Linked DNA regions of Arabidopsis thaliana. The protein of the gene in region 3 purifies or fractionates together with the protein of the main gene of each other region. This does not show direct contact. Each region holds a gene or a part of one and is shown on either strand. Other genes may lie near its edges.

Region 1 (6,601 bases), 5.9 Mb from region 3:
TAAAACCAAGAAAGAAAAACTGAACTTAAATTTACCGAAAATAGCTACAATTACAGTAATGTCTGCACAAAAAATTTACCTTGCCTCTCTGCTATTATTTATCTGTCTCGTTTTCCCTCAATCAACTGGTTATATTTTCTTCCTCTATTTCTTCATATCAAAACAAAAAATGTTAGAAAAATGAGATATTTCATACCTTTTTAAAAAAAAATATTTTTTTTCAGCAATTGTATGTAATTTCGAAGGCCATTGTGTAACTAGTGACGACTGCATCAACGTATGCAAAAGTGGGGAGGATCCATTCTTGTGCGTTCGTTCAGGCCCACATAAAGGCATGTGTTGTTGTTTGAAGACAAATGGTTCTGTACTAGAATGATATATTCATATTTGTATCATCACCTATCATAAGATTTAAAATTAATAATAATAAAAATTAATATCAATTTAAATTTTCTTATATAAGTTTGATATATTCGATGACCATCATATACAAAAGGTTGAAAATAAAGAAAATATCATTGATTCATTGTAATGCAATATAAGCTATTCTATATAGAATTCAAATAAATTTTGTTGATTTATTAAAAGTGTCTATGACATTGAGATTGAAAAGAGTATTCTAATAAGGGCTATATTAATATCTATGCTCAGATGATCAGAATATTAAGTATCTATGTATGAAAACTGAGTTATTAATCCTCTGTCTTCCCCAACATAATTTCTGACAAAAAAGCTCCTATAAAACCAAAATATAGTTTATAGCATAGTTTCAACATGCTAAAGATATCTTAGAAGATATCTCCCACTGGCATTAAAAACATAAAGATATTGTAAATCATTATTGATATGTATAGGGTTGTAGGTATGTCGAATATATACGATACTAGTTTCCGTTGGCTTTTAGAAATAATCCTCAAACAATAAACTGCGAGTTTAAATAGAACCTATGTGGTCTCGCTGACTATAAGCAACGTTCTGATAACAAATAGTATCGCGATAATCTCGTATCTGCTAAACATAATGATATTTCCGTTAACTTTATAAAGAAAGTCCACAATCAATAGACTACGAGTTTAAATGGTAACAATGTTAGTCGATATAACTACTAGCAGATAATTAAGATAATAACTACGATGCCACATGTTGTCCCTTTGTGTTTTACAACAAGAATCAAAGCTAGTAACACGTTCTAATAATAACAGAATCATGAAAACCTCTTATTCGCTAAACACGAGCATATTTGTTTGTAGCCTTTTAAAAATAATCCTCAAACAATAGCCTACGAGTTTAAATGGTAACAATGTTAGTCGATTTAACTTCTATCAGATAAGAAAAATAATAACGACGATGCCACAGGTTGTCTCCTTGTGTTTTACAAAAAGAATCAAAACTAATAAACACTTCCTGATAACAACCCGTATCGCGATAAGCTTCTAACCGCTAACATCAGTATCAGGATAATCTCGTTTTGGCCGCTAAAGACTATATCATTTTAGTTAACTTTTTAATTTCTTTTTACAAACAATAGACTACGAGTTTAAATGGTAATAATGTTAGTCGATATAACAACTAGCAGATAATTAAAATAATAACGACAATGCCACATGTTGTCTATTTGTGTTTTAGAACAAGAATCAAAACTAGGAACACGTTCTGATAACATTAGTATCGCGATAACGACGATGCCACATGTTGTCCATTTGTGTTTTACAACAAGAATCAAAACTAGGAACACGTTCTGATAACATTAGTATCGCGATAACCTTTCTTCTTCATATAGGATCGAAAAATATGACTGATCGTTAGGTGGGGAAGAAAAAAAAACATAAAAAAAAATACAACTCCCAAAACAATATCAACATAAAATCTTCTCCTACCGTGTGCAATAATATCTCGCTACAATCTATAATTGACTAAACTGATAATATAGGGGGTAAAAAAAATGTTATCGAGTGATATTTTCCTTCTAATAAAAACTAAGTTTTCAATTTTTTTTTTGTGGTTTAGCTTTTTAGGTTTTTTTGTTTTTGTTCAAGTCTTTGTATTATATCAAAATTGGAAGTCTTATGAAAATCGTTTTACTAATAATATTTATGAAATACATCTGATGATAGTTAAAAATTTATATCATTTTAAAATTATTTTTCTTAATTAATCTAAATTTTTAATTTCGTTAAAAATAAATTCTTATTATTTTTTTTTATTTTGGTCCAAAATGTTTATTAATCTTAGTTATGAATTATATTTAAACAATTGTTCTTTTATGTTTTTTTTTTAACAATTGTTCTTTTATTTATTTTGTTAAGAATATAACACTGACAAAACAAAAGAGAAAATAAAATACCTAAATATAGGTAATTTTAAAAAGTTTAAGCCAATTCAAATTAGGTGATCAAAAAAAGAAGAAGGGAAATAAGTATTTTTAAAAAATATAAATAATTCCACTTAAATGCGAATATTATAGAAAGAGAAGAGAAAAACCTAAAATCCATCTTCGTTGTCGTTTCGTCTGCTTCACATCGGAAAGCTACATCTTTTTCGTTTTTTGTGGTGGCGATTTCTATTCTCCGGCTGAAACCTACCTTCAGGATTCAGCCTTTCTCAGGTACTGTTTCTTCCGTCTCCATTCGCTTCAATTTCACTTGACTGTTGAATTCATCGAATTGAATCCGAGCTGGGCATGCCAATATTTATCAGTACTGATTTTGTGTAAGGTTAGATTTAGGATTTGTGGTGCTTGATGGGTTTTTATTGGTAATTGGGTTGTAGGTTCCTCCTTAAAAGTTGTGTAATTTGTCACTAATTGGGTTTAGATTACACTAATGATCAATCAAACTCTGTTTTGCTATATTCTTTTGTATGATTGATGATGTTTAAAAGCTGAATCCTTTCATGAATCAGGTCGCAAACTCGGTGTTCATAACCTAAGTTTTGGAACGAACAAACTTGTGTTTGCTGGCTTGCTTGAGAATTAACTTGTAATCAGGCTCTATGCTCTTATTTTAGTAGTTCTATTTGCATGTGAAGTACTAGTAGGATCAGAAAGTCTTTCTATAGTAGATTGTTTTATGTTCTTAAGCTGTGAAGCCTTGATCCTAAGAGTAATTGTATCATTGTCTTGGGCTGTTATGAATTCCTGGTATTTGCAAGTTTACTGTGAGTTGTTACACACGTTTTTGTTGCTTGGTCAGACCAGATGACTAACTACTTAAAATCATGAATATCACTATATTGAAAATATCATATTCGATTTTTCATAGGAGTTTTGTTGCATTTTACCTCCAGGATATATAACTAACTAATGTATGATTTACATTTAAGCATCACCAGTGAGAGCCTTTGTTCTGATCTTTGTTCTGATCTTTGTTCTTTCTGATGTTATGTGGCTGCTTGTGCCTTGTGCAGGTTTTCAGTTGGATTCAGATAGCAGCTTGTACTTCTTCTAGATAATCGGCGACACATATGGATGATTGGGGTAAGACTTACATTAAGAATTGTTCAATACACAATACTTTCTTGTTCTCTAGGTGTTGCATTAATCTCTTTGAATATGTAAAAAGTAGTACAGGCTGTATACAGCTATATATATTTTACTATGTTCTCTAAGATGATAGGCTTTATTGTTGTTTTATTGAAGTTTTCATATGGGAAATATATTAGAATTCTCACTTTTAGGTTTTCCTTTCTGATTTCAGAGGCCGAGGACTTTCAACCACTTCCCTCAAAAGTTGAACTGAAAAGTAACTGGGATGATGAGGATGTGGATGAGAATGATATCAAGGACTCGTGGGAGGAGGAAGATGTATCTGCTCCGGTATATTTTTCTTTCATTATATACTTTTAGTCATTGGGTTTTGTTTGTTATTTGTTTTTGAGATTGCGGCTAACAATCTTTGTTTCTCCTGTAGCCACCTATAGTAAAGCCTGCTTCTGAGAAGGCTCCAAAGAAACCAGCAGTAAAAGCTGTTGAAAAGAAGGTTAAAACTGTTGAAGCTCCGAAAGGAACATCAAGGGAAGAACCTCTAGATCCTATTGCTGAGAAACTTCGCATGCAGAGGTAGAGTGTAATAATAGTTCACTTACATATGCTTCTACTGTTGGTTCTGCATTGGTTTGGTTGAATGGGATGAAAAATGTTTTCTAGTAGTGTAAGAAGCATGTCACTGAGGAAGGCCATTGTGCTAATTTTTAATATTCTTCTTATCTTAGGCTTGTAGAGGAAGCTGATTACCAATCAACTGCTGAACTCTTTGGAGTAAAGACTGAAGAGAAAAGCGTCGATATGTTAATTCCGAAGTCTGAAAGCGATTTCTTGGATTATGCTGAGTTGATATCTCAGAGACTTGTACCATTTGAGGTATGCTATTTTCATTTCCTGTTACTTTCTTGTCTTAGCTAACTGTCACTTATTTCTATATGACCAAATATCATATTAAGACCAATTCGTCTGCATTTTAACTATGTCTACTATTTCGCAGAAAAGCTTTCACTATATCGGGCTACTCAAAGCAGTGATGAGACTTTCTGTGGCTAATATGAAAGCAGCAGATGTTAAAGACGTTGCTTCGTCCATTACAGCTATAGCAAATGAAAAATTGAAGGCGGAGAAAGAAGCTGCTGCTGGCAAAAAGAAGTCAGGTACACACAATCAGTCTTTGAATTTTGTTTTATTCTTTGGATTTGATAAGACTTGTGAATTATATGTTTTTAAGCTAAGCAAGCATGTCTCTGTTTCCAAAATGATCAGATTAAAATGTTTTTTTCTTTCTTTCTTTCGTTTCACTGTGTTTACTAGGTAAGAAGAAACAACTTCATGTTGATAAGCCTGATGATGATCTTGTTTCGGGTCCTTATGATGCCATGGACGATGATGATTTCATGTGAGAAAATGGCAATTTTGGAGATTGCATTTTACCTCCTATAGGATTGTAACTGAGAAGAGGTTTAAATCGTCGGCGGTTTTTTGTTTTGTATACTGAATTGCAAAAGTGTTTTTCTTCTGTTTTCTTTGCTCGGTTTGATTTAAAAATTTGTGTAATAAGATTTGTTGTGGGCACACTATTTCCTATTATATGAATTGAACGAGTACTAAGAGCACGGCCTATGATTCACTTAGAATTTGAAGCCACATTAGTAAGATAAGTTTTCGATAATGAACCAGCAAATCTAACACATTACAAGAGATATACACTCGAAGAAGACCTAAACATGTAGTGTGAAGAGTAATCAATACGTAGAGAATCAAATGAACTGGAGAATCTTCGGGGAGTAGCTTGATCAAGTCTTTGGCGTAAAGTGATGCATGTGTCATGGGAGAGAATTGATGAATCTAGTGATGCCCTAAATTGGTTCTCAGTTGTAACAAACTATCGATACAGATAAGAAATAGAGAGATTCATAGTTATTGTTTGAAAATTTAGAAAAGTTAGAAAAGTTAGAAAAGTTTTTGTTTGAAAAATAACCTACCCATTTTTTCTCTTTAAAAACTATTTTCTAAAATAAGAAAGGAATATAAAATTACAAATATATCCTTACTAAAATTTACTAATAATTTTAAAACATTTATATTTAAAACAAAATCAGCTTTTTATTATATTTTTTGTCGATCAAAATAATATATTTTAATTTAAAAATATTTGATGTAACTATTTTTTTCGTCAACTATTTAATATTAACTACCTAACAATTTTACATATAATTTATCTTGAATATCTTTTTAATGAAAAATATTGTTACAAGACAAACAAAAACAATATTTTTTAAAAGAGAAAAGTTAGTCGTATATATACGTATAAATTACACCATGCATATATATGTTACACCATGCAGAATTTCATTATCATGTTTTGATTATTGAAATTACAAATATTTACAAACAAAGCTAAAGTAGTTTACATTACAGTTAGAGAAAACTTGGGTAATAATGTAGAGTTAAAAAATTATGTGTTTGGAGTTAGATTGATTTCTTTATATACTGTGAGAAATATGAAGTGATAAACTTTAGAATATTTTTTTGATAATATCATGCTAGATTTTAATATTTAAAATATATAATCTGCTTTATCTTAAAATAGTTAAAAATAATAATTAAGATTTTAAATTAACTTTATTCTTTTTTTTTAAAAACAAATTCGTATTTAATTTTAGTTTATCAAAAAGATTTCTTTTATTTCAAATCTGGACAAAAATTGTCATTTAACATATTTAAAATTATATTTTTAATTGAAAATAGGGTAGAATGTATTTTTCAAACAAAAACTCAAAAATAGGGCAATTTTCAAAATCACCATTCATAGTTTGTATTGTTATCAAATGGTGCGGTGAGCGTGGATCGAACACGCGACCTTCAGATCCACGCTCACCGCACTATTAGAGTCCTCTTGCCGAATATATTTTATTGTATCCATTACAGTTTTGGCCGTTGCTACGACATAAAATTTCAACTGTTTCAACATTGTTATAGTGATGTGGCAATCTATATCTTATGTGATTAGATCATTGTTGACTTTTAATGCTCACGAATCCAATCTATCGTTGCTATGCTAATCTTATTCTTGTTAGTGTTTTCTTCCTTATCCTTTATGTAGTTGATTAATTTTGA
Region 2 (9,005 bases), on a different chromosome or scaffold from region 3:
TTTCAAGAAACTTGTGTTATCTGTCTGGAAACTCCGAAGATTGGAGACACCATACGTCATCTTCCTTGTTTGCACAAATTCCACAAGGATGTAAGGATCTTTACTGATTCAAATGAAAACCCCTTATTAAGAACAGAGATTCGAAAAGTAACCATTGTTTATTTATTGTGCAGTGCATTGATCCATGGCTAGGACGGAGTAAATCATGTCCGGTTTGCAAATCCTCAGTTACTTGACAAGGTTTTCAAATTCATCGGAGAATTTGAAAACTACCATTTTACCCTTCCAAACCGGTCGATCTCTGGAATCATTTTGCGGGTAAGTCAAACATTCTTGGCCATCAAATTTGAACTCATTAAACGGGGTTTTACTACCGTTTACGCGCGAGGGATGATTATCTGTGTATCTCTGTGATTATTTTCTCGGGTTTAAATATATCTAGCTAAGAACTTTTTGTAGATTAAGAAAGTTGATACTACCACTTATTCACTTTAGTTTAAACATATACCTTTTAAAATCAATTTAAATGCACAAGGCTTTGTTTAATCGTTTTATTCACTTTACTTGCACGAAGAAGCAAGATACAATCATATTCAAAGAGTAAAACAAACTAAAGAGAAACGACATACATTTCAGTTATTGTTACATATATAACGAATTAGTTTTCTTAAATGACATGCATTGGATTTTAGCTCCTCATCAATGCACATTACGGTTAAACAAATTCTCAGTGACCTCCGCCGCCAATTCCTCCACCAATTTCTTTACCGGCTCCTCCGCCGATTCCTCCAATGGCTCCACCGTCAACTCCTTTACCTGCTCCACCGTCAAATCCTTTTCCGACTCCTCCCTCAATTCCTTTTCCGATTCCTCCCTCAAATCCTTTGCCGACTCCTCCATCAAATCCTTTTCCGGCTCCACCGTCAACTCCTTTGCCAACTCCTCCATCAAATCCTTTCCCGGCTCCACCGTCAACTCCTTTACCGGCTCCACCGTCAACTCCTTTTCCGAAGCCACCGTCAACTCCTTTACCGGCTCCACCTCCGAATCCTCCTCCACCAAATCCACCGCCTATTCCTCCACCAAAGCCTCCAACACTGCCTCCAATCCAACCGCCACCTGCTCCAAAGCCGCCTCCACCGCTGATACCACCACCACCACCTAAGTCGCCGAATTCTTTTTTAAAGCCCTTCTTGTGGAGGAGAGGATGAGGGTGAGGGTGAGGAAACAAGGGCTTCTCATCACCAAACTCTGCTTCTCCCATAGTAAAATCTGTGACCAAAGCAAACACCAAAACAAACACACGCACTTTACCGGCGATTAGACCCATTGTTAGTGGAAACTTAAAATGTTTGTAGTTAAAATATTAGAAGCTATTGGAAGAGGATGTTTTGATACGAAATTGCTTCTTGCATGAGCAGTATATATATAGACTTAGAGAGAGATCGTGATAGCATAAGCACTTTTCGTCAATGTGCATGGATTCAACCTGTACAACAACTAGGATATAATTGCTGTTGAGTAAAAACAGTTAAAGATGTTTCACCGGTCACTGGACAAGTTTTATGTTTCATTGTCTGCCCAACTGCCATATTGATCTCATCCAACACAAAGAGAAAAATATGATGCAAATATAGTTGAAAAATTGAAGAACATATGACACCAATTATTATATACAGTTCCTTGAATTATATTAATCATACATTCATATCAATTATATTAAAATTTAATTTGAAGGTTGTCCAGGTTTCAGAGGGCAATAACTAAAAATGAAAATGTTTCTGCATGTCTATTCATAATTTCATATTAAGTGAAAACTCGTATGGTCTAAGAGAAAATATTTACTAGAAAATAATTCTGACTTGATAAAAGATGTAGTCGCTTTATAGGTTGGAGGACAGGCCATGTCAATCTATGGAATATTGAACTATCTATATAAACCCTAAAATGTGATTTCATTTATTTGTGAGCTTTAGCTTTTTAGGTGTCATCAATCAATGATGTAAACTAGAAACTCATATGCTATACTTCCAAACAAACCAATAAAGTTTTTATTATGGGCCGCTAGATTGGTCCATTAACACTATAAGATATATAGTCTGGCCCATCATTAGACCCAATTTTGTATTCCGACTTTATGATTTTGTTTGGATCCATCATATATATTTGGGGTGAAAGTGTAATCTTATTAAACATTTAGGGGTATTGGTAAAAATTACTTGACTTGTTGGGTAAGTATCTTAATATTCGATAAGTCTAGAATTTCGATTTTGATTAGACTTGTGAAAAAGTGAACTCAGAAATTGTGCTCGCCCAAAGTAGTTCGGTTCTTGTGTTCCTCCGTCTGATCAACTCTTCTTCTCCACCTCTAGGTTTCTAATTTTCCGATTAGGATAATGGCCGCCGCCATGGTTAGTTCCGCCGGTGGGTTACTGGCAATGCTCAACGAACCCCATCCTTCCTTGAAACTTCACGCTCTCTCATATCTCATCAGATTGGTTGACCAATTTTGGCCCGAGATCTCCACTAGTGTCCCAATCATGTATTCAATTCTCTCTTCTCTTTTTTTTAATTGTTTCCCTTCGTGAGGCTATTCTGTTTGCTTACTGGGAGTAAAGCTTATGGGATTTGGATGAGTTTTAGCACTCTTGATATTTCTTAGTTAGGGTATTACATTCCAAGTTTTTCCACTCTTGTGTCGAGTTAGATTTGAATGCGTTAATTCACAAGTGACAAACTTTATTGAATTGCTTTACTTAATTCTGTTGATTCTGAATAGAACCATTGTTATCTGGGCTAAGGACGCTCCCTTACCGTCATGATGCGGAAAATTTGTTCTTTTGAAAGTTGTAGAGACTCTACTTTTGCTTGAGATCTTAAACTGTTTTTGTGCTATTCTGAGACCTTTTTTTGATTTTTTTGTAGAGAGAGCTTATACGAAGATGAAGAGTTTGATCAGCATCAAAGACAGCTTGCTGCCTTGTTGGCCTCCAAGGTACAGTTTATCTTTTTATTTAACTTACATGATGACTGGTTTTATATAAATTGTTAGTGGAGATACGAGTGCCAGTTAAACGGATACCTTAAAAGCTGGTAGATTGCTACAGAAGTTCAGAGCTTGAATTTCCTGTAATCAAGTTATGTTATTGTATTATAAGACTTGTTTTCTAACGTTTATGTTAATCTTGTTTTATCTCAGGTTTTCTATTACTTGGGTGAGCTTAACGATTCCTTGTCCTATGCCCTTGGAGCTGGATCCTTGTTTGATGTGTCAGAGGATTCTGATTATATTCATACTCTTCTATGTAAGGATTTTGAAGTTTGCTACTTTCTTCTCTTCTACTTTTTTTATCCAATTCTGTGACAGTAGACACTAGCTCGGTTATCATTCTTAATAGGCGTAAATTCAAAATCATTCCAACCTGATTAAATGGAAGATTAAGAAAATAGTTTATACGATATATTTTCTAACTAATAAGACTTGAACGTCCATCTTTCTTTTAATAAGATTGTGCTGCTAGAAAGTTACGCAAAGACATGATAAGATAGTGATCTTACAGTTACTAACTGTTTAATGTTGAATGTTTTACTCATGGATGCTTCTGTTTTCCTTATCAGCCAAAGCAATAGATGAGTATGCTATTCTCAGATCAAAGGCAGTCGAGTCAAGTGAGGTGGTGGAAATTGACCCGAGATTGGTGGCCATTGTTGAACGAATGCTAGACAAGTATGGGATGCAGAATTTATTTATTTATGTCTGTCTACAAGTTTTTCGTTTTTCCTTACATGGTTTTCTGTTTTATAGATGTATCACTGACGGAAAGTATCAACAAGCCATGGGCATTGCTATAGAATGCCGGAGATTGGATAAGTTGGAGGAAGCGATCATAAAGAGTGAGAATGTGCAGGGAACATTATCTTACTGCATCAATGTTTCCCACTCTTTTGTTAATCAAAGAGAATATAGACATGAGGTGAGTCTGGTGGCCACAAAACTGGATTTTAATAGATGTATTATGTTAATGATACTATGAGCTCATCTTCTTTATTCTTTTCTTACAAATATAATGGTTATAATTCATTGCATTCTTTATGTCAACTCAAAACATTTTTGTAGGGGCTGTTAATTTGTAAATGATAACATCCTTACTTCGTTCTTGCAGGTTCTTCGGTTACTTGTTAATGTTTACCAGAAGCTGGCTTCTCCTGATTATTTGAGCATTTGCCAATGCCTTATGTTCTTGGATGAACCACAAGGCGTTGCAAGCATATTGGAGAAGCTTCTTCGTTCAGAGAACAAAGATGATGCTTTATTGGCTTTCCAAATCTCTTTCGATCTTGTACAGAATGAGCACCAGGCATTCCTCATGAGTGTTAGAGATCGCCTTCCAGCGCCCAAGACCCGTCCTGTAGAAGCAATTCAAGCTGTTGAAACCTCTACTGCTCAGAATGAGAACACTGCAGGGGATGTTCAGATGGCGGATGAAACTCCATCTCAGACAATTGTGCATGAAACAGATCCTGTTGACGCTGTGTACGCTGAGAGGTTAACAAAGGCTAAGGGGATTTTATCTGGAGAGACATCAATACAACTGACACTCCAGTTTCTTTACAGCCATAACAAGTGAGGCAGTTTATTTACCTTTTTTGATATCTCGAAGGATATTTCATTCTTAAGTCGTTTCTTCCACATAGTAAAATTTACAGCAATGGCCATTGTTTCTTTGTAGATCGGACCTGCTGATCCTGAAGACAATCAAACAATCTGTTGAGATGCGGAACAGTGTATGTCACAGTGCTACAATTTATGCTAATGCTATAATGCATGCTGGAACGACAGTTGACACTTTTCTCAGGGAGAATTTGGTAAAATTTATTTTCTCTACCACTTTTTAACTTGTTTCAACGTCAACTATGTGGCATATTATTTAATCTTCTTTTCTTTTCCATTCATGTTTGAATTGTCAGGATTGGCTAAGCAGGGCCACCAATTGGGCCAAGTTTAGTGCTACAGCAGGATTAGGTGTTATTCATAGGGGTCACTTGCAACAGGGCAGGTCACTGATGGCCCCATACTTGCCTCAGGGCGGAGCAGGTGGTGGCGGGAGTCCTTATTCCGAAGGGGGTGCTTTATATGCTCTCGGCCTTATTCATGCAAACCATGGTGAGGGAATCAAGCAATTTCTTCGTGATAGTCTACGCAGCACTAGTGTTGAGGTGATTTGCTATATCTTTCTTCTGGATAGTCTTCCGTTATATCACCAAAAAGATAGTCTTTTGTTTAGAATGATTTTCATTAAAAAAATATGGTTGCAGGTTATTCAACACGGAGCTTGTTTAGGTCTTGGTTTGGCTGCTCTTGGGACAGCTGATGAAGACATATATGATGATATCAAAAGTGTGCTTTACACTGACAGTGCTGTTGCTGGTGAAGCTGCCGGCATAAGCATGGGTCTATTGTTGGTTGGAACAGCAACTGATAAGGCAAGTGAGATGCTCGCTTATGCTCACGAGACTCAGCATGAGAAGATAATAAGGTAACTAAAGTCTGGAATATATTTTTGGCTATGTGTGTGGGTGCATGGTAATTTATTTCAATGTTTTAAGTAACCAACATCTGGTTTTGTGTTTAGGGGATTGGCTCTAGGAATAGCTCTCACAGTATATGGAAGAGAAGAGGGAGCAGATACTTTGATTGAGCAGATGACTAGAGATCAGGATCCTATCATCCGTTATGGTGGAATGTATGCACTCGCATTGGCTTACAGTGGAACTGCAAACAACAAAGCCATCCGCCAACTTCTTCACTTTGCTGTGTCTGATGTCAGTGACGATGTTAGGAGGACTGCTGTTCTTGCACTTGGATTTGTCTTATACTCTGATCCAGAGCAGGTAACTCCATATTCTTTTTGTCTCATTAACTTCTTGACACTATATTCCATTTCTTTAGTGCCTTTAGGGCTCTTGTGCTCGCTTACAGTCATTAACTGGTGGCTCAATATTTAAACTGTAGACTCCCCGTATTGTATCCCTTCTTTCCGAGTCGTACAATCCACATGTCCGCTATGGCGCAGCTCTTGCAGTTGGCATCTCTTGTGCAGGCACTGGTCTGAGTGAGGCGATATCTTTGTTGGAGCCACTTACATCAGATGTTGTAGACTTTGTTCGTCAAGGTGCTCTGATTGCCATGGCCATGGTGATGGTCCAAATTAGTGAAGCAAGCGATTCTCGCGTTGGAGCATTTAGGTTAGTGAAGTTCCGATCTCTTCATCAATTGGAGGGAGTGAGAATAGTTCTCTTTTGAAGACTAAAATTTGTCTGTGCTTTTGCAGGCGTCAACTTGAGAAGATAATACTTGACAAGCATGAAGATACAATGAGCAAGATGGGAGCAATTTTGGCTTCAGGTATTCTTGATGCTGGTGGAAGGAATGTGACGATAAGACTGCTGTCTAAGACAAAACATGACAAAGTCACTGCAGTCATTGGCCTTACTGTCTTCAGCCAGTTTTGGTATTGGTACCCATTGATTTACTTCATAAGCTTGGCGTTTTCACCCACCGCCTTCATCGGTTTGAACTACGATCTCAAAGTCCCAAAGTTTGAATTCATGTCACACGCAAAACCATCGTTGTTTGAGTATCCAAAACCAACTACGGTTGCTACTGCCAACACCGCTGCCAAATTACCAACTGCTGTGCTCTCAACCTCAGCCAAAGCCAAAGCTAAGGCTAAGAAAGAAGCAGAGCAGAAAGCTAAAGCTGAAAACTCTGGCAATGAAGCTGGAAAAGCCAATGCAGCGTCAGATGAGAAGGAAGCAGAGTCTATGCAGGTAAAATGCAAATCTAATTCCCAACATCTTCGTATCTGTTTGAGTTGAAAAATTGCTCTTAACATTTTTTACTTTGGGAAATGCTGTTCCTATGATTAATCTCAAGGTCATGATCAATTTATCATCAGTCTTTTGACTTTTGATCAAGTATATTTTCTCTATGTTACTATGCCAGGTTGATAGCACAGCTACAACGGTGGAGAAGAAGGTTGAGCCAGAAGCAACGTTTGAGATTCTAGTCAATCCTGCGCGTGTAGTCCCTTCACAGGAGAAATACATCAAATTGATGGAGGATAGCCGATATGTACCGATGAAGCTAGCTCCATCAGGGTTTGTCCTTCTCAGAGACTTGCGTCCGCATGAGCCTGAAGTTCTGTCTCTGACCGATGCACCGACTTCAACAGCATCCCCTGCAGTGGGTGCAGAAGCTGCAGGACAAGCCCAACAAGCAGCCACCACCTCTGCTATGGCCATAGATGACGAGCCACAACCTCCGCAGGCCTTTGAATACGCTTCTCCATGATTTTGTAATTTGATCAGTTGCCATTTTGTTTTCTGTTAATTAAACAGAGAAACAGTTCTCCTTTTTTGAACTTGGAGACTAGTACTTATTGCATTGGTTCCGACTTGTTCTTGTGTTAGTAGTTTCTTTAAATCTATATATTACTAAGAGCAGAAATGGTAAACAACTATCATTTTTCCCTAAGTAAAGATTAATGCTATATACCAAAAAAAAAGAAAAAAAGTAAAGGTTAATGCTTGTATGATTTTTCTAGGGGAAATTAGATAAAAATCATTGCAAAAATTTAACCACATTGTTCAGTCGGGGAAAAATAAAAATCTCAGGTTGTCGATTTTGGGTCAAAATAGTTTGTTTATGCTAGTAGGCCTTTTTTAATTTATGTGGGTCAATTATATTACGCTCCTTGTAGCCCAATGGGCAGAATAAAAGTGAGCCCATGAGTGAGGCGCGTGGTAGGCGAACTGTCAAATGAAAATATCTTACCCACTCGCATACTAAGCGCGTATAAGACTGGGAAAACTGCCGTTTTTCGCTAAAATTAATAAACTGGGCGCGTGTGGGCGTTTTTTTACTAATAAAAACGTAACTGGCCTTCTATCTGATTAACCTTGTCCGGCCTTCTTTAGTGAGCCCATTTTTGTTTTAGTTTTATGTTTATAGACCTTATAAAATATAAAGCCCATATACAGTTGTTCCAACCGCAGCAACAACTGTATCCAATTAAGGTTAGACTAATACACATTTTCTTATTCAACACGCTAATTTAATCAGATAGACTTTGATTAGATACTTTGATCAGAGAGTATCTTACTACATAAATTTATCTGCTATATCCTCACTGCCACATATTTCTCAAGAATCCCAAAGTATCATCATGCTTAGGTCAAAATGCAAAATATATAACATCTCATGAATTTTTTCCATGCCTTCAAATAACCCTTGTAGTTTTGATAGTAGTGATAAGATATTACCAGAAAGGCAGAAACGATTTAACACACAAAGGAAATAGATAATAGAGAGATAACATGGCTACGAAAAGATAGAGAAGTAGGTTTTAAAACACACACGATTAAAGACTCCCAAGAGTTTTGAGCCCATTCTCACAAGACGAGATTATAGAGAAACCCACACAAATCCAAAGTTTTTAGAAACATTCTTCTTAGTATTCCTCTCCTTCATCATCTTCATCGTCACCACCTTCAGCACCGACCTCTTCATAATCCTTCTCCAATGCTGCAAGATCCTCACGTGCCTCTGAGAATTCTCCTTCTTCCATACCCTCACCCACATACCAGTGAACGAAAGCACGTTTGGCGTACATAAGATCAAACTTGTGATCAATACGGGAGAACACCTCAGCAACACTGGTCGAGTTTGAGATCATGCAAACAGCTCTCTGGACTTTAGCAAGATCACCTCCTGGAACAACTGTTGGTGGCTGGTAGTTGATACCACACTTGAATCCAGTAGGACACCAGTCAACAAACTGAATAGTGCGCTTGGTCTTGATGGTGCCAACAGCTGCGTTTACATCCTTGGGGACAACATCACCACGGTACATCAAACAGCAAGCCATGTACTTTCCGTGACGTGGGTCACACTTAGCCATCATGGAAGCTGGCTCAAAAGCACTGTTTGTGATCTCAGCAAC
Region 3 (7,598 bases):
AAACCGTCGATTAACCCCTTTTCATCTCAACCGTTAGATTTTGTTGATCAAACTCTCATCAAAATTCAATTTTTTGATTTTTCAAAAAGATCTCAAAGAGACGACGACGAAGCAAAAGAAGAAGAAGAAGAAGAGAGAGCTATTCAAGCTTAAAGCATAAAACAATCTCTGCTCCTTATATAGTTCTTCACTATGGAAGATTTGAGTAATCAGAATCTCCTCCCGCGTCAATCAGATATCTCCATCCCTGCGGAGAAGATGGATTCGTTTCAAAAGTCGCTAGAACCTCCGCCGTGTTCTCCGGTGAAATCTTCTCAACAATCAGAAACGGAAGTCACACCGCCTCAGAAACCACCGCTTCACCAATTTGGTCACAACCAAGTTCAGAAGAATCGAGTGAGGTAAAAATTGGTTAATTTCTCTGTTCCATCAAATCTATTTCAATCTTAAGGAATTAGCATTTTTGATTGTTTGATTATGTAGCAATCAAGATCCATCGACCTCACGAAGACATAATGAAGTTGAATCGAAAGAGAATACTCCAAATAAACAACAAAAACATTGCAATTGCAAAAACTCAAAGTGTTTGAAACTGTAAGTATCTATTTTTGTTAATAGAGTTTAAAAACATATTTTTGTTTATACAGAGTCTTGTTGATCTATATAGGTATTGTGAATGCTTTGCTTCTGGATCTTATTGTAATGGTTGTAACTGTGTGAATTGTCACAACAAATTGGAGAATGAGTCTTCGAGACAAGTAGCTATCTCGGGGATCTTAGAGCGTAACCCTGATGCGTTTAAGCCCAAGATTGCTGGTAGTCCTCATGGAATGAAAGATTTGCAGGTTTGTGATCTTGTTACTTGAAAAAAAAAAGATGTAACTTTAGGGCTTGATGGTAGTTTTATAACTTGTAGGAGAATGTGCAGCAAGTGTTGCTTATTGGAAAGCACAGCAAAGGATGCCACTGCAGGAAATCAGGATGTCTCAAGAAGTACTGTGAGTGTTACCAGGCGAATATTCTATGTTCGGAGAATTGTAGATGTCAAGACTGCAAGAACTTTGAAGGAAGCGAAGAAAGAAAAGCTCTTCTTCATGGATCTCAGGTCTCGGATACCTACATACAACAGATGACCAATGCGGCTGTTAACCGTGCCATCGACATGTCTGCTTATCTGTACCCTCCTGAATCAAGAAAGAGAAAGAGCAAGGACATTTCAGATTCTGTAGTTTCATCATACGGTGTCCAATACCAGAGGGTAAATAGTACAATTCTGTGTTGATCTCATGGTCTTTAGCTTCAGTTTTTGCATTGAAAGCATAATTCTTTGTGTTTTTCTATTTCCAATTAGGCAAACCACGTTAGAAGAAATGGTGAAAATTCTCTATTTTCACTCCCTAACAACAAGGCCGTGTCCGGATCTACCACAAGTGCTTACAGGTTGGAAATATCAAACTCATCTTCTCTATGATATTGCCTATTTGAAACTACCGTGATACCTGACTAATGGCTTCTATAGGTCTTCTTGGTCAAATACATTCCAACCACATCATGTCAGAGAGCTATGTTCACTTTTGGTCTCAAACTCGGTTGATGTAGCAAATAAATTGTCAGGTACATATCATGCCGTTAGATGTACAAGATGATAGGTTAACGTTCCTCATATAATAAGGTCTTTGATAAGAGAATGTTTGTTATGGTGAAACAGACAAAGGGAGGAAGAACGACAAAGGCCCTTCTTCACTTGATGGAGCCCAAAGAGTTGCTAATGAGATCAATGACTCACCAGATTGTGTCCTTGATGCTAATAGAATGGACGAGAAGCCTATATCTCCCGCAACACGTGCATTGATGTGTGACGAAGAACATGAGATCGGGTCAGAGAAAGAGACATCGGCCCGAGTGAAAACAAGCCAAGAGAAAGAAGACACAGACACAAGCTCGGGGATTTACTTAGAGCAAGAAAGACAGATATTGTCAATCTTCAGGGACTATCTCATTCAGCTCTCAAACCGTGCGAGGATAAATGGTAACCTTGATATCGTATCCTTGTTCAGATATTTACAAGTAGAGGATTGTGCTAATTTAAGACATTATTTTAAGCAGGTAAAAATATCAAAAGCAACACAAATCCAAGTTGAAAGAAACCAGAAGATGAAGAACAAAGCCATCGAGACTCAAATTAGGGACATTGCTTAGGGAATTTTTTTGATTTTTTTTTTAGGATCATACTCATTTTTAACATATGATCCATGTCACATTTTAAAAAAATAATTAGGAAGATTAGACATAATTAAAATTTAAAAATGGTTTGAAGTTTATGAGTGAAAATTGTCACTACTATATCGCAAAACAGAGAATCGAAGATAATGGGCTTTGCATCGTTGTTTAGTTGATAATGGGCTTTGGAATAATAAAGGTCCAATCAAATTACATGACCCGACCCGACCCGTCCGAGAAAAATATTCTGTCTTCTTCATCAATCAACGGTTTAAGACTTAACACTGCAAACAAAACTCAAAACCCTAGGCACACACTCTCTCTCTCTCTCTATCCTCAAAGCTTCTTCTTCCTCGATATCGATTGAGAGAAACTTCGTTCTAAGATTCGAAATCATGGCGGCGGTTGTTGATATTGATGTCCTAACAGCTCAGTTAGGGATTAATTGGTCAGATGTTAATCTCGATTCAATCCAACTTCCTCCTGGAAACGACTTTGGGATCGAAAGGTGAGATTTTTTCCATTACATCTCTGCTTCTATTAGAATCTTCGTTTCAAATCTGAGAAATCGCTTAGTATTTTGAACTGATTGCGTTGATTTGTTTCTGTGGTGATTGGGTAGTGATGATGAAAGTGTTTACCAAGATGACCAGTCAGAATTCGACACTGGATTCGGTAACATTATCGTTGTCGATCACCTCCCTGTTGTTCCCAAGGAGAAGTTTGAGAAACTAGAAGGTGTTGTTAAGAAAATTTACAACCAGTTAGGTGTGATTAAGGAAAATGGACTGTTGATGCCCGTTGATCCCGATACTAAGATGACATTGGGCTACTGTTTTATTGAGTTCAACACTCCTCAGGTTGTTTATCTACTCGCAGCTTAAAGCTTAATCTCTCTGTTTAGTTAGTTTTGCTTAAGCAATTGTGTAGGCACAGAACTAGATTGTTTTCAATGGTAAGTGTATTTTCTAAGAGTTTGTCTCAATGTCTGTGCTGTTTTTAGGAAGCACAAAACGCTAAGGAAAAGTCTCATGGCTACAAGTTGGACAAGTCTCACATATTTGCTGTTAATATGTTCGATGATTTCGATAGGTTGATGAATGTGAAGGAGGAGTGGGAGCCTCCTCAAGAAAGGCCCTATGTCCCTGGGGTAAGTTTAGTTTTCTTCATATTACTCTTTCAGCGACACCATTATATGTTTTTGAATAAGTTCCACTGCGCCTGTGTACTTCTTGATATTGGTTGTTCTCTGAATGATTTCAGTGATTTATGTGTTTACCAGCTGAATTAGTGTTAGGATCTGTTTACGTATTTGATGTATAGTAACCAATAAATAATAATTTCATCAGTCTTGTTAAATGTTTATTCTTTTTTATTCAATGCAGCCTTTTGAGGTGCTTGGTCTTGATACTTATATGGTGTTTGTTTTTCAGGAAAATTTGCAGAAGTGGCTTACTGATGACAAAGCCCGGGACCAGCTAGTCATTCGTTTTGGCCATGATACTGAAGTTTACTGGAATGATGCTAGGCAGAAGAAGCCTGAACCTGTTCATAAGCGTTCTGTAAGTTACATCTGTGTCAGTTTAGAGCAATGTTATATGTTTATGTTACCATCATCTGAATTAATGATGTTGTCTTCCTATGCAGTATTGGACAGAGAGTTATGTGCAGTGGTCTCCAATAGGTACATACCTTGTGACACTTCACAAGCAGGGGGCAGCTGTTTGGGGTGGTGCTGATACATTTACGCGTCTCATGCGTTATCAGCATTCAATGGTTTGAAATTCCTTTCAATTGCTACATAGTACTTCCGTTTTTCCTGTGTTGGTCTGAAAATTGACTTCTTTTGTTGATTCCGTTTTAGGTCAAACTAGTTGATTTCTCGCCTGGTGAGAAATATCTTGTAACTTACCATAGCCAAGAACCAAGCAATCCGAGAGATGCAAGTGTGAGTTCATCTTTGCCTCTGTTCTTTCCAACTTTTATTCGTATAACATTTCTATGCAAAGAATTCTGATATTTGTCAAAATTTCAGAAAGTAGAGATTAAGGTCTTTGATGTGAGAACCGGGAGGATGATGAGAGATTTCAAGGGTAGTGCTGATGAGTTTTCAATTGGAGGACCTGGTGGTGTTGCTGGTGCCTCTTGGCCTGTTTTCAGGTAATTTCTTCAACCGCATGTCAATGTACTAAAAATAATAGTCAATTTCTCTCCTCTATTCCACTATTATGCAAATTTGTTGATATCTTGCCAACTTTTTTCAGATGGGCTGGCGGAAAAGATGATAAATACTTTGCCAAGCTGAGCAAAAACACTATCTCTGTCTATGAGACTGAGACTTTCAGCCTAATAGACAAGAAATCCATGAAGGTTGATAATGTTGTGGATATTTGCTGGTCTCCCACTGATTCAATCCTTTCATTGTTTGTTCCTGAACAAGGTGGTGGAAACCAACCAGCCAAGGTATGTTTCTTTTATTTCTTATGTAAATGAAAAGCCCTGATACCTCAATAATCTTCCGTTTCTCTGCCAGTTGTTTTGTATTTACATGTTGATATCCCATTCTTCAGGTTGCTCTAGTCCAAATCCCGAGTAAGGTAGAGCTGAGGCAGAAGAATCTCTTCAGTGTGAGCGACTGCAAGATGTACTGGCAGAGTAGTGGAGAGTATCTTGCTGTTAAGGTTGATCGATACACAAAAACTAAGAAGAGTACATACTCTGGATTTGAGCTTTTCCGTATCAAAGAAAGGGATATTCCAATCGAGGTTCTTGAGCTGGATAACAAGAACGATAAGATCATTGCTTTCGCGTGGGAGCCCAAGGGTCACAGGTTTGCTGTGATTCATGGTGACCAGCCAAGACCGGATGTTAGTTTCTACTCGATGAAGACTGCACAAAACACTGGAAGAGTTTCAAAGCTCGCAACTTTGAAGGCCAAACAAGCCAATGCCCTCTTCTGGTCGCCCACAGGCAAGTACATCATTCTTGCTGGGTTAAAAGGTTTCAATGGCCAGCTTGAATTTTTCAACGTGGATGAGCTCGAGACAATGGCCACAGCTGAACACTTCATGGCCACAGATATCGAATGGGACCCAACTGGAAGGTACTAATGTCTTAAAACCAAACCAGTCCATTGGTTGGTTTCTCTTTGTTTCACCAATTGCTGATGTTGTTTGCACTTTTTTTTTATTTTCAAAGGTACGTTGCAACCTCAGTGACAACAGTCCACGAGATGGAGAATGGGTTCACCATATGGTCTTTCAATGGGAATATGGTTTACCGGATACTGAAGGATCATTTCTTCCAGGTATGTAACAATAAAAAACTCGGTCTCAAACTAGCATCATCCATTTTCAGATGTCTAATAAAATATTTGTGTATGGTTGGTTACACAGTTGGCTTGGCGTCCAAGACCGGCATCATTCTTGACTGCGGAGAAGGAAGAAGAGATAGCAAAGAACCTGAGGAATTACAGCAAGAGGTATGAGGCAGAGGATCAGGACGTGTCGTTGCTATTGAGTGAACAAGACAGAGAGAAGAGGAGGGCATTGAATGAAGAGTGGCAGAAATGGGTGATGCAGTGGAAGTCTCTGCATGAAGAGGAGAAACTCGTGAGGCAAAATCTTCGGGATGGTGAAGTTAGTGATGTGGAAGAAGATGAGTATGAAGCCAAAGAAGTTGAGTTTGAGGATCTTATTGATGTTACTGAGGAAATTGTTCAAGAGTTGATGTAAGTTTCTCGGTCTCTTTTGTTACCCTCTCTTAGTCTTCGATCTCTTAGATATCGCGTTCTCCACACTTCGAAGAGAAATTTTGTTTCCTTTGGATATTGTTTTCATTATTTAAGTTTTCGTAATTACACTTGAAGGGTTAAGATTCTTAATACTAGACAAATCTTGCGATCAAAACTCATTCCACACACAAATCTTCCAATATAAAGAAATCCAAAGGAACTTTAAATACATGATGGAAATGAGAATTTATTAATCGTCATTTGGCTTTGAATAACATTTGGTTCACTGACTAATCTTATCAAACTCATGTGTAAGAGAACAGCGCGTTGTTGGATAGCAGTACCATTAAACGGTAGGATGTGTGTAAGTGATAATTATCCCACATCGCTAGACTAGAAACAATGACTGGGTACTACAGGAGTATAAATAGAGAAGTGGCTGGTTAGAGCAAATTACTTACCTGGACGGGGTCAACTCGTGATCAATAAGACGAGTGGCCTAGGCTAGTGACCGCATTGCACATAACGCTGGGGTGCTATGCTTAAGGTCTTCCCATGAGGAAGAGCCTGCGTCATTATTTGTGGCAGAGGGGGTTTGCGTTCGCGCAGCCCCTACCATCATTAGTCTTAATCTTCATATCTTCCTATAATAACAAACTAGTTGTCTTGTTGATCACTAATTGAAAATTTTGACAACCTTTTGATATTTGTCTTTGGGTATATAGAGTCCCACATCGGAAGTAAGTATCAAGATGATGGGTATTGTGTGACTATAAAGCAAAGAGGATTTGGTCCCTTGAAAAGTATCTTTGCGCTTGGGGCAATGACGCAGCTAATGAGGTCTTAACCGAGGCGCGTCTATTGCTGGTTGAAAACTATTTCCAAACCCCCTCCTAGGCCTAAGCTTGTCTAGGGCCTTCGAGAATTTCTGGAAGGGCTCCCTTCGGGGTAAAGCCCTACAATTCCCTAGTTCAATATTTGGCCTCATTAATCTTATTGGAATCAATAAAGAAAGTTCTGATAGTTAGTAGACCTTTCACCTATGTATATATTAAAGAAGCCAAAAACACAGAAGCAATGAGAGAGCGCAATATATTTCAACGGTAATGCTGATTCAAGAAGAATAGAGAGTCCATGTAGATTCGGTACCAATATGAGACATTGGTCAGTTCCACTCTATAGAATAAACCTATCCAAAAGAATGGAAGCATCAAGCATGATTGGCAAAAAAAACGAAAATGTTGACTTATCAAACAGAGCAAATGCACAAGTATTGCAGAAACCTTGTCTACATCCGAGTCAATGATAAACTTTTCATTTTTTCATCATCTTAAAAGCTGAAAGAGACTTTTCATTGTCATCATTTAAGTATGAAAAAGGACATGTGATTTAGAACCTTGTCCTTTTTTTCTTGGTTTCTGAAACATAATTTCTTAGAGGCGGTCTGCTGCGAAAGATCCTTCCTCTCACAACCATCTCTGTTCGATAGATCCAACCAAAAACCGCATCGGTATTTTTCATCTTATCGTGTCTAGTCCAATTGATAACCAAGATGAAGGTGTTGACTCTTTGTTTGTTCTTCCTCGTGCAGATTTTCCATTCACACGGCACTGAATGATGATGACTTGGAGGAGAGCTTCTCAAG

The links. Proteins that work in one complex are often made in the same cells at the same time.
Region 1: the proteins of EIF3B-2 (region 3) and AT5G37475 fractionate together in Arabidopsis thaliana (co-fractionation; one large-scale study listed by BioGRID). This does not show direct contact.
Region 2: the proteins of EIF3B-2 (region 3) and AT1G04810 fractionate together in Arabidopsis thaliana (co-fractionation; one large-scale study listed by BioGRID). This does not show direct contact.

The regions. Positions count from the first base shown.
Region 1 is NC_003076.8:14,864,611-14,871,211, reverse strand, and holds AT5G37475 (Translation initiation factor eIF3 subunit), read left to right. Parts: upstream 1-2,436; 5' UTR 2,437-2,605; exon of another isoform or gene 2,606-3,405; 5' UTR 3,406-3,462; coding exon 3,463-3,475; intron 3,476-3,695; coding exon 3,696-3,814; intron 3,815-3,908; coding exon 3,909-4,057; intron 4,058-4,209; coding exon 4,210-4,357; intron 4,358-4,478; coding exon 4,479-4,638; intron 4,639-4,795; coding exon 4,796-4,884; 3' UTR 4,885-5,155; downstream 5,156-6,601. Other genes in the region: AT5G37473 (Defensin-like (DEFL) family protein), read left to right, coding at 59-128, 225-376.
Region 2 is NC_003070.9:1,347,908-1,356,912, forward strand, and holds AT1G04810 (26S proteasome regulatory complex, non-ATPase subcomplex, Rpn2/Psmd1 subunit), read left to right. Parts: upstream 1-2,172; 5' UTR 2,173-2,396; coding exon 2,397-2,542; intron 2,543-2,925; coding exon 2,926-2,995; intron 2,996-3,199; coding exon 3,200-3,305; intron 3,306-3,618; coding exon 3,619-3,727; intron 3,728-3,805; coding exon 3,806-3,974; intron 3,975-4,163; coding exon 4,164-4,624; intron 4,625-4,730; coding exon 4,731-4,866; intron 4,867-4,968; coding exon 4,969-5,217; intron 5,218-5,316; coding exon 5,317-5,537; intron 5,538-5,633; coding exon 5,634-5,892; intron 5,893-6,013; coding exon 6,014-6,246; intron 6,247-6,332; coding exon 6,333-6,831; intron 6,832-7,006; coding exon 7,007-7,354; 3' UTR 7,355-7,559; downstream 7,560-9,005. Other genes in the region: AT1G04790 (RING/U-box superfamily protein), read left to right, coding at 1-90, 174-236; AT1G04800 (glycine-rich protein), read right to left, coding at 728-1,330; TUA4 (tubulin alpha-4 chain), read right to left, coding at 8,514-9,005. UniProt on the Arabidopsis thaliana protein: Acts as a regulatory subunit of the 26 proteasome which is involved in the ATP-dependent degradation of ubiquitinated proteins.
Region 3 is NC_003076.8:8,971,776-8,979,373, reverse strand, and holds EIF3B-2 (eukaryotic translation initiation factor 3B-2), read left to right. Parts: upstream 1-2,460; 5' UTR 2,461-2,615; coding exon 2,616-2,728; intron 2,729-2,842; coding exon 2,843-3,080; intron 3,081-3,223; coding exon 3,224-3,370; intron 3,371-3,653; coding exon 3,654-3,782; intron 3,783-3,867; coding exon 3,868-3,996; intron 3,997-4,084; coding exon 4,085-4,168; intron 4,169-4,255; coding exon 4,256-4,380; intron 4,381-4,484; coding exon 4,485-4,683; intron 4,684-4,790; coding exon 4,791-5,323; intron 5,324-5,418; coding exon 5,419-5,527; intron 5,528-5,615; coding exon 5,616-5,954; 3' UTR 5,955-6,127; downstream 6,128-7,598. Other genes in the region: AT5G25790 (Tesmin/TSO1-like CXC domain-containing protein), read left to right, coding at 193-401, 484-594, 668-845, 917-1,258, 1,352-1,440, 1,520-1,614, 1,709-2,199; AT5G25770 (alpha/beta-Hydrolases superfamily protein), read left to right, coding at 7,568-7,598.